Linked DNA regions of Mus musculus. The protein of the gene in region 1 interacts with the protein of each later gene in a pairwise test. Links are inferred from orthologs where the notes say so. Each region holds a gene or a part of one and is shown in the gene's direction. Other genes may lie near its edges. The genes, in order: Bptf and Maz.

What was found.
Region 2: the proteins of Bptf (region 1) and Maz interact in a two-hybrid assay, tested with the Homo sapiens proteins (2 studies listed by BioGRID). The link is inferred for Mus musculus from reciprocal best matches to the Homo sapiens genes BPTF and MAZ.

The regions. Positions count from the first base shown.
Region 1 is NC_000077.6:107,129,408-107,133,309, reverse strand, and holds the start of Bptf (nucleosome-remodeling factor subunit BPTF), read left to right. Parts: upstream 1-1,162; 5' UTR 1,163-1,387; coding exon 1,388-2,036; intron 2,037-3,902. UniProt on the Homo sapiens protein: Regulatory subunit of the ATP-dependent NURF-1 and NURF-5 ISWI chromatin remodeling complexes, which form ordered nucleosome arrays on chromatin and facilitate access to DNA during DNA-templated processes such as DNA replication, transcription, and repair.
Region 2 is NC_000073.6:127,024,152-127,028,053, reverse strand, and holds the start of Maz (myc-associated zinc finger protein), read left to right. Parts: upstream 1-1,574; 5' UTR 1,575-1,634; coding exon 1,635-1,826; intron 1,827-1,899; coding exon 1,900-2,750; intron 2,751-3,114; coding exon 3,115-3,178; intron 3,179-3,313; exon of another isoform or gene 3,314-3,438; coding exon 3,439-3,610; intron 3,611-3,902. Other genes in the region: kinesin-like protein KIF22, read left to right, coding at 64-261. UniProt on the Homo sapiens protein: Transcriptional regulator, potentially with dual roles in transcription initiation and termination.

The DNA.
Region 1 (3,902 bases):
TGCTATAGCTGCAGCCTTTGTTTACCCAAGAACTCTTGTGGCTTACTTTCTTTCCTTTGGTGTCTTATGAGGTCCCTGTGGGTAAGTTTACCACTCTCAGAGATCAACCAAAGTGAATACATAATAACTTAGTTGGCAATTAGTAATTTTCACTTCATTTCTATTCACCGAACTATATTGTAATAAGTCAGTTAGTTAGTGGGCTGAATCCTATTAACGATTTTTCTTCAAATTACTTTTTCTGTTCTCACATCTATTAATAATCACTCATATAGGTTCCTTAAACCTTTCTTTTCTTTCCAGAGTCCACCCCGAGGACCCTGTGTTGAGCCACCTCAATTTAGCAACATTTGGTGCATGTGCCTGCGATTTCACTTTAGTGACTAGCACCCTAGGTCAAACCAAGACTGGTAATTTGTCAGGTAGACATTATTTCCAGGTAACACAAACACATAACTTTGTGAAGCCAATTCTAGACAGGACGCCATCCTTCCTATCCTTAAGTTCTGGCTGAGGTGTGGAAGTTCGTAGCTGGGAAGAGAGAAAGGTGCCTGGAGGCCGCTAGGAACCACGCTCTGGAATTTAACCCCGGGCTCTGAGGGTGGGAACTCAGGAAAGTCAGTGAAACCACGCTGGGGGTGTGGCTCCCAGCGTGCATTCCTGGAACAACTTCAGGACCCTCTAGATCCAAGCCTTTGGGAGCTCTCTATTGGGACTGACTTAGCTCCAGCTCCTGTACCTGCGTGGGTGGCTTTGCGTAGTGACTGCCCCCAGTCTGTAAGTCGTGCCTCTACGCGAGACGCCCCTCTCCCCTTTTTTTGCATTAGTTTCCCAAAAGGACCGGCGACTTGGGAGGAAAATTCCCTGTTTTCCGGCCCCGGTTTGGGAGACACGCATTGAGGTCTCCCTAAGACCTCAGCTGAGGGGGAGGTGGTCTCCCAGGAGGAGACCCCAGCCTGGGGGGACACCCCACGCTACCCATCTCGCTCCTGCGCCGCCGCCGTGCAGCCGCGCAGGGGCGCTCCGGGGCCTCCCCGCCCCCGCCGCGCCGCTCCCGCGCTCCCCCTAGCGGCCGCCGCGCCGCCTCGCTCTGTCCCAGGCTCGTCGGGCGGCGCAGCTCACGTGACCGCGCTCCGGGCCTGCGGCCGCTGTCGGTTCCCCCAGTCACCGAGCGAGAGGGAAGAAACAAGATGGCGGCTGCAGGCGATCCGGAGCGGGGCCCCGGCAATTCGGACTGAGCCTTCTCCCTCCACCCCGCCGCTGCCGGGCCGCGCCCCTCCCGCCCGGACCCCGGCGCCCTCCCCTCCCCCTCGGCCCCGGCGCCCCCCGCGCCCCTCCCCCACCCCTTCCGCTCCCCCCCCACCCCCCCGCAAGCCGCGGCTCCGACATGAGGGGCCGGCGGGGCAGGCCGCCCAAGCAGCCCGCGGCTCCTGCTGCGGAGCGCTGCGCCCCGGCCCCGCCGCCGCCGCCGCCGCCGCCACCACCGCCGCCGCCACCGCCGCCGCCGCCGCCGCCCGCCTCCGGACCCATAGGGGGGCTGCGCTCGCGGCACCGCGGCAGCAGTCGGGGCAGGTGGGCCGCCGCCCAGGCTGAGGTGGCGCCCAAGACCCGGTTGAGCTCGCCCAGGGGGGGCGGCCGCAGGAAACAGCCGCCACCGCCACCGCCGGCCTCCGGCAGCAGCGCCAGCGGCCCGGGCCGGGGGGGCCGAGGAGGCGGGGGCGGCAGGACGGGGGGCGGGGGCGGCCACCTGGCCCGGACCACCCCGGCCCGCCGCGCCGTCAACAAAGTGGTGTACGATGACCACGAGAGTGACGACGACGACGAGGAGGAGGACATGGTCTCGGAGGAGGACGAGGAGGAGGAGGAGGATGGCGACGCCGAGGAGACCCAGGATTCCGAGGACGAGGAGGAAGATGACATGGAAGAAGACGACGATGACTCCGATTATCCGGAGGAGATGGAAGACGACGACGACGACGCTAGTTACTGCACGGAAAGCAGCTTCAGGAGCCATAGTACATACAGCAGCACTCCAGGTAACCACCCAGGCCGCCGGGAGACTCCTTCCCCACCTCCTCCCTCCCCCTGGCTTGCTCCCTCTCCAGTGCAGTGCATCCTGCTTCCTAGCTCCCCCCCCCCTTCCCGGCCTGTCCCCCACGCGGAGGCCACGGCGCGTCTAGTGACAAAAAAAAAAAAAAAAAAAGAAAAAAAAGACAAAAACAAAACTAGATTTGCAAGAGGAAAGAGGCGCATTGTTCAAAATGGAGATTGCATTGTTGCAGTTTGCAGGCCACAGACTCGTTCGCTCTTCTCCCCCCTCCCTCTTTATCCCCTTCAAAATTTGTGCCAAGTGCGGTGGCTCCACCAGGCAGGATTGAAACTTTGGCACACAAGTATCCATTGAGTTCGTCTTTCTCCCCTTGTTTTGGTACGAGTATTTTATTTATTTATTTTGCGATGAAAGAAGCCTCCTGCTTTGCAAACCGTTGCATGTCTAATACGTTTTGTTTTAGATTTAAAAGAAAAATTATCTGTTCCTTAAAAGAGAATTTCGATGGTGGTACCACACCTAGACGTTCTCCCTTTCCTACACCCTAGTTAGCTAGTTTGGTAACTGTTTTGGAGGAAGGATTGTTGTTCGGTGAGCTTGGGAGCTTCCTGGGGTCCTGAGCGCTTGTTTGTGTTCTTCGAGTGAGTACTCATGGTCGCGTGCAACAGTTGCTGGTAAATGCTGATTAAAGAGCAAAGCAGAAAACTAGACCAAACCAAGTTTGGCAATCCTTCCGATTTAAAAGTACTCTGGTTAAGTTCCAAATAAAAGTATAACACCACGGGGCCGTGTGTCCTAACCAGATTGATTTTGACTTTGCGTGGGAGATGGCAGTTTCGTGGCACCTGTTGCCGAAGATGTGTGGTTGATCATCTAGGCGCAATTGCCAAAGATGAACTTTTTGAAGTCACGGTATAGAAGTGTCAGATTGGACCCGACAGGACTTTTTCTTGTTATTCTGTTTCTGAGGAAAAAGCCCTTCCTGAATCAGCGGTGGGCTTCATCAGTAGTGGTGAATTCTCTGATGTTTTCTCGAATAATTTCTTGAGGTGGGTCCTGAGATGTGGGTCAAGTAAAAGGCACATGTGCAATTGCTCCTTTGTATTAAATGAATAGTTATGGGGGGGGGGGACCCTTAACTTGTAGCAACAGACTTTCAGGCTTTTTCTTAAGTTTTTATTCACCTGATTGATAAAATTAAGATCTAATTGTAAGGACATTTACAAAGTAAGTGAGGACATATGAGGGTTTTTCCTATGAGAGCCTGTCTACCGTTTTTCAGAGAAGATGAGGGTACTAGGAGTGGTTAAATTTAAGTGTTTTCATTTATAACTGCTTAAGATCCTAACTGCTGCAAGTATGAGAATTAAGCCAGATTAGATTGGTTAACACCAAGTGAAAAAAGCTAGTTTCCTTTGCCTGTCTTGAAGAAGGTTGCCTATTTTATGGGACCTGGAGGGAGGGGCTATCTTTTAGCAAGTTTAATTTCTTGCCAACTTAGTTTAGTGTGTCTTTTATAGTACTAGGTTTTACTTTAAGAAATTACGAGTTGGGCATCTGCATCAAGAGCTCAAAATTGAGCTGAAGACAGCAGTAGTGGAGGAAGTTAGTTTTTGAGTTAGGACTGAGGCATTTTGGCAGGGTAGTTCAGCTAACTTTTTAACTCCTTGAAGACCTGGCCAACAGTTCTGATGAACTGAAGACCATGAAAATGCTGAATTAAACTGCAATTTGTGGTTAGGGATTCTTTTTTTTTTTTTTTTTAATTTATTTATTTACATTGTATGTAAGTACACTGTAGCTGTCTTCAGACACTCCAGAAGTGGGCGTCAGATTTCGTTACGGATGGTTG
Region 2 (3,902 bases), on another chromosome or scaffold:
CAGGTGCAGTGGGGGGGTCCCCGTGCTGTGTCCACTCCCTTCCTAGTGTTGCTGTCCCACTAGGTGGAGGACTTGGAACAGGTGGAAGGCATCTCTGGGAAGCAGGTGGAGTCTTTCCTGAAGGTAAGGCCACCTTTGCCCTTTCTGCATGGTGTTCCCCCACCGCAGCCCACCTTAGGCTGCTATGCTAACGCACGTTCCTCTTCTTTACAGGCGAATCTCTTGAGCTTGGCCGCCAGCCAGCACAGCGGTCCCTCTTGACACTACCTTCTTTTAAAAATCCTTGTATAGTGACGTGTTGTGTAAATACAGTTTTTATTCCATGGTTGAGCCTGGTTTTTGAGGATGACAGGGCTGGGGTCAGAGTCCATAACTACCCTGGGGGTCAGGATCAAGCTCTGCAGGACACCCATGTAGGCGCCATCTTTGGGAAACCCCCAAACTAGGCCAAGATTGTAAATAAACCACTGGAATGGGGAGGGGACGGTGGCCTAGAAGAATCAAAAAGCTGACGCGAAAGCTTAAGCACAGCGACCGACCGTTAAGCGGGCACGCGCTCCAAGCTAGCCCCGCCCCGCTGTAACTCCCTCGGCGCGCTCCCCACTCTCCCGCTCAGCAACGACGTCCCTGTTATGTGCGCGTGCGCGCGAAATAACGGCCGCTGGCGGAGGGAAGTGGGGGGTGGAATCGTTCAAGTGGGGGAAGAGAAGCCGCCTAGTCTCCCGCGCGCCCACCACCTGCACCATCGCCAGCCAATCAGCAACCGTCTTGGGGGTCTCGCGCTCGGGGCGACCGGGGCTGCTGGGTGGCTCCCCAGTCCCTCCGCCCTCTAGAGTCCCTCCTGTCCCTCCCCCTCCCGCTGGCCCCGCGCGCACTCGCGCTCGCGCCCGCTCCAGCCTCTTGTGTGTCCTCGCGCCCCCCGCCCGCCCTCCGGCGCGCAGTGTGCGCCGCTCCCCCACCCTCCTCCCCCCTCCCTCCTTGCGCGCCTCCTCCTTGGGTCCCCCTCCCCCACAGCTGCCTCCTCCCGCCCCAGGGTGAGCGCGAGCCACCTCCCTCCTCCCTCCGCCATGGATCCCAGCAACTGGAGCAGCTTCATCTTCCAGGTAACAACCCCCGCCCCCCCCGCCCCTGCCCCCCCTCCCACACCCCCTCCTGCCCGCCCTCCCTCCTGTCCCACACCCCCTCCGCGCGCCCGGTGCGCGCGCAGCTGTCCCCCTCCCTCCCTCGCGCCCTCCCCCGCCCTCCCCGAGGCGCCGGCTGGGCGCGCGCGCGCGGCGGGGGCCGAAGCTGCTCCCTCGCTCCCCCCACCCCGCCCCGCCAGGCTCCAACCGCCGCCACCACCGCCGCCGCCGCCGCCCGGGCCCCCCGCCCCCGGCCCCGGCCCTCGGCCCCGCGGGGCCTCTCGCCCCCACCCAGGGGGCGTCGCCGCCGCCGCCGCGCTCCGCGCCCCACAAGACGCCCTCCTTCCCTCCCTCCCGCCGGCCGGGGTGCGCGGGCGGCGGGGCGGCCCTCGGGCCATGCGTTCGGCTCGGCCCAACCCGGCCGGCCGGGGGCGGCGCCCCGAGCCCGGGCCCCGCGCGGCCCGTGCCCCCGGCTCCCGCTGAGCTCCGGGGGCCCCCACTGTGGCCGAGGCCATGTTCCCCGTGTTCCCTTGCACGCTGCTGGCCCCCCCCTTCCCCGTGCTGGGCCTGGACTCCCGGGGGGTGGGCGGCCTCATGAACTCCTTCCCGCCACCTCAGGGTCACGCCCAGAACCCCCTGCAGGTCGGGGCTGAGCTCCAGTCCCGCTTCTTTGCCTCCCAGGGCTGCGCCCAGAGTCCATTCCAGGTGAGTAGGGGCCGGGCCGGGCGGGCAGGCGCCGACCAGCGACCGCGGCCCACACGGCGCCTTGTCTCCGCAGGCCGCGCCGGCGCCCCCACCCACGCCCCAGGCCCCGGCGGCCGAGCCCCTCCAAGTGGACTTGCTCCCGGTTCTCGCCGCCGCGCAGGAATCAGCCGCGGCGGCGGCGGCTGCTGCGGCGGCTGCCGCTGCAGTGGTTACTGCACCCCCGGCCCCTGCCGCCGCCTCCACAGTGGACACAGCGGCCCTGAAGCAGCCTCCGGCGCCTCCTCCGCCACCCCCTGCCGTCTCCGCACCAGCCGCCGAGGCCGCGCCCCCCGCCGCGGCCGCCACTATCGCAGCAGCGGCTGCCACCGCTGTCGTCGCCCCAACCTCGACGGTCGCCGTGGCCCCAGTTGCATCTGTCTTGGAGAAGAAGACAAAGAGCAAGGGGCCCTACATTTGCGCCCTGTGCGCCAAGGAGTTCAAGAACGGCTACAACCTCCGAAGGCACGAAGCCATCCACACGGGAGCCAAGGCTGGCCGGGTCCCTTCGGGTGCTATGAAGATGCCCACCATGGTGCCCCTGAGCCTCTTGAGTGTCCCCCAGCTGAGCGGGGCCAGCGGGGGTGGGGGAGAAGCCGGGGCTGGCGGCGGCACAGCCGCGGTGGCGGCCGGTGGCGTTGTGACCACGACTGCCTCTGGGAAGCGCATCCGGAAGAATCACGCCTGCGAGATGTGCGGCAAGGCCTTCCGCGACGTCTACCACCTGAACCGACATAAGCTGTCGCATTCGGACGAGAAGCCCTACCAGTGCCCTGTGTGCCAGCAGCGCTTCAAGCGCAAGGACCGCATGAGTTACCACGTGCGCTCACATGACGGCGCTGTGCACAAGCCCTACAACTGCTCCCACTGTGGCAAGAGCTTCTCCCGGTGTGCAGGGGCCTCGCTGCCCACTAGGCCGGTGGGGGGGAGGGCAACAAGGTGGCCTGTCTTTGGCTGGTGGGGAGGCGGCTCCCGTTCCTGGGGACAGGAACCACTCCCAGGGAGGAGGGAAGTTGCTAGGAACAGGGGGTGGTACTTTAGAAGAGGTGGGTCTCTGGGCTGAAGGAAAGCAGCCTCTGGGCAGAAGAGGAATCTTGGTTTGAGGGCTTTCCTGCCTGAGGACTGAAGCTGAGGGGGAAACGCTGGGACCTTTGCAGAGGCATTTTGGAGGAACCTAGGTAGATTTGAGGCACACCTTACCTTGGAGCCTAAGCCCTAACACACACCCCCTCCCACCTCAACATATCCCTAGGCCGGATCACCTCAACAGTCACGTCAGACAAGTGCACTCAACAGAGCGGCCCTTCAAATGTGAGGTAGGAAGCCAGCTTCCTCCTGTCCTGGTTTTCATGATTTTGATCCTCATTGTAGCTGTGTGGGTTCAGCCTCTCAGACCCCCTTTTTCTCTCTCTTTTTGCCTCTTCACTCCATTTTCACATTTCTCCTTCAAGGCCTGGTCATCTCACGCCCATTTCCTACAGATCAAAGACCCCCGAGACTCTGATCCCCTTATCTTGCTCCCTTCTCTCTACTCCCCGAAGCTTTAACTCTCCTGTGACCCCACACCCTCCCCCAGAAATGTGAGGCAGCTTTTGCTACGAAGGATCGCCTCCGAGCGCACACAGTCCGACACGAGGAGAAGGTGCCATGTCATGTCTGTGGCAAGATGCTGAGCTCGGCTTATATTTCCGACCACATGAAGGTGCACAGCCAGGGCCCTCACCATGTCTGTGAGCTCTGCAACAAAGGTACATGCTAAGGGGTGCCAGGAGGGCAGGGACTAAAAAGGGGGGCACAGAGCTGTTGGGTTTTTTTTCACCGATGTGGGTCAAGGGTGCTGCAGCTAAGAGCTTGTGGCGAGTAGAGAGAACTCTTTAAGGGGCAAGTACAACAGCATTGGAAACACCACCACTAAATTATGTGCCATGGTTCACAGGAGACCGTCTACCAGAAATTCAACCTCATGGGTGTGCTTGGGAGAATGAAGTGGGACGTGGTTACTTTGAGAAAGGAATAGCCAAAAAGCCAGTCCCAAGGGTT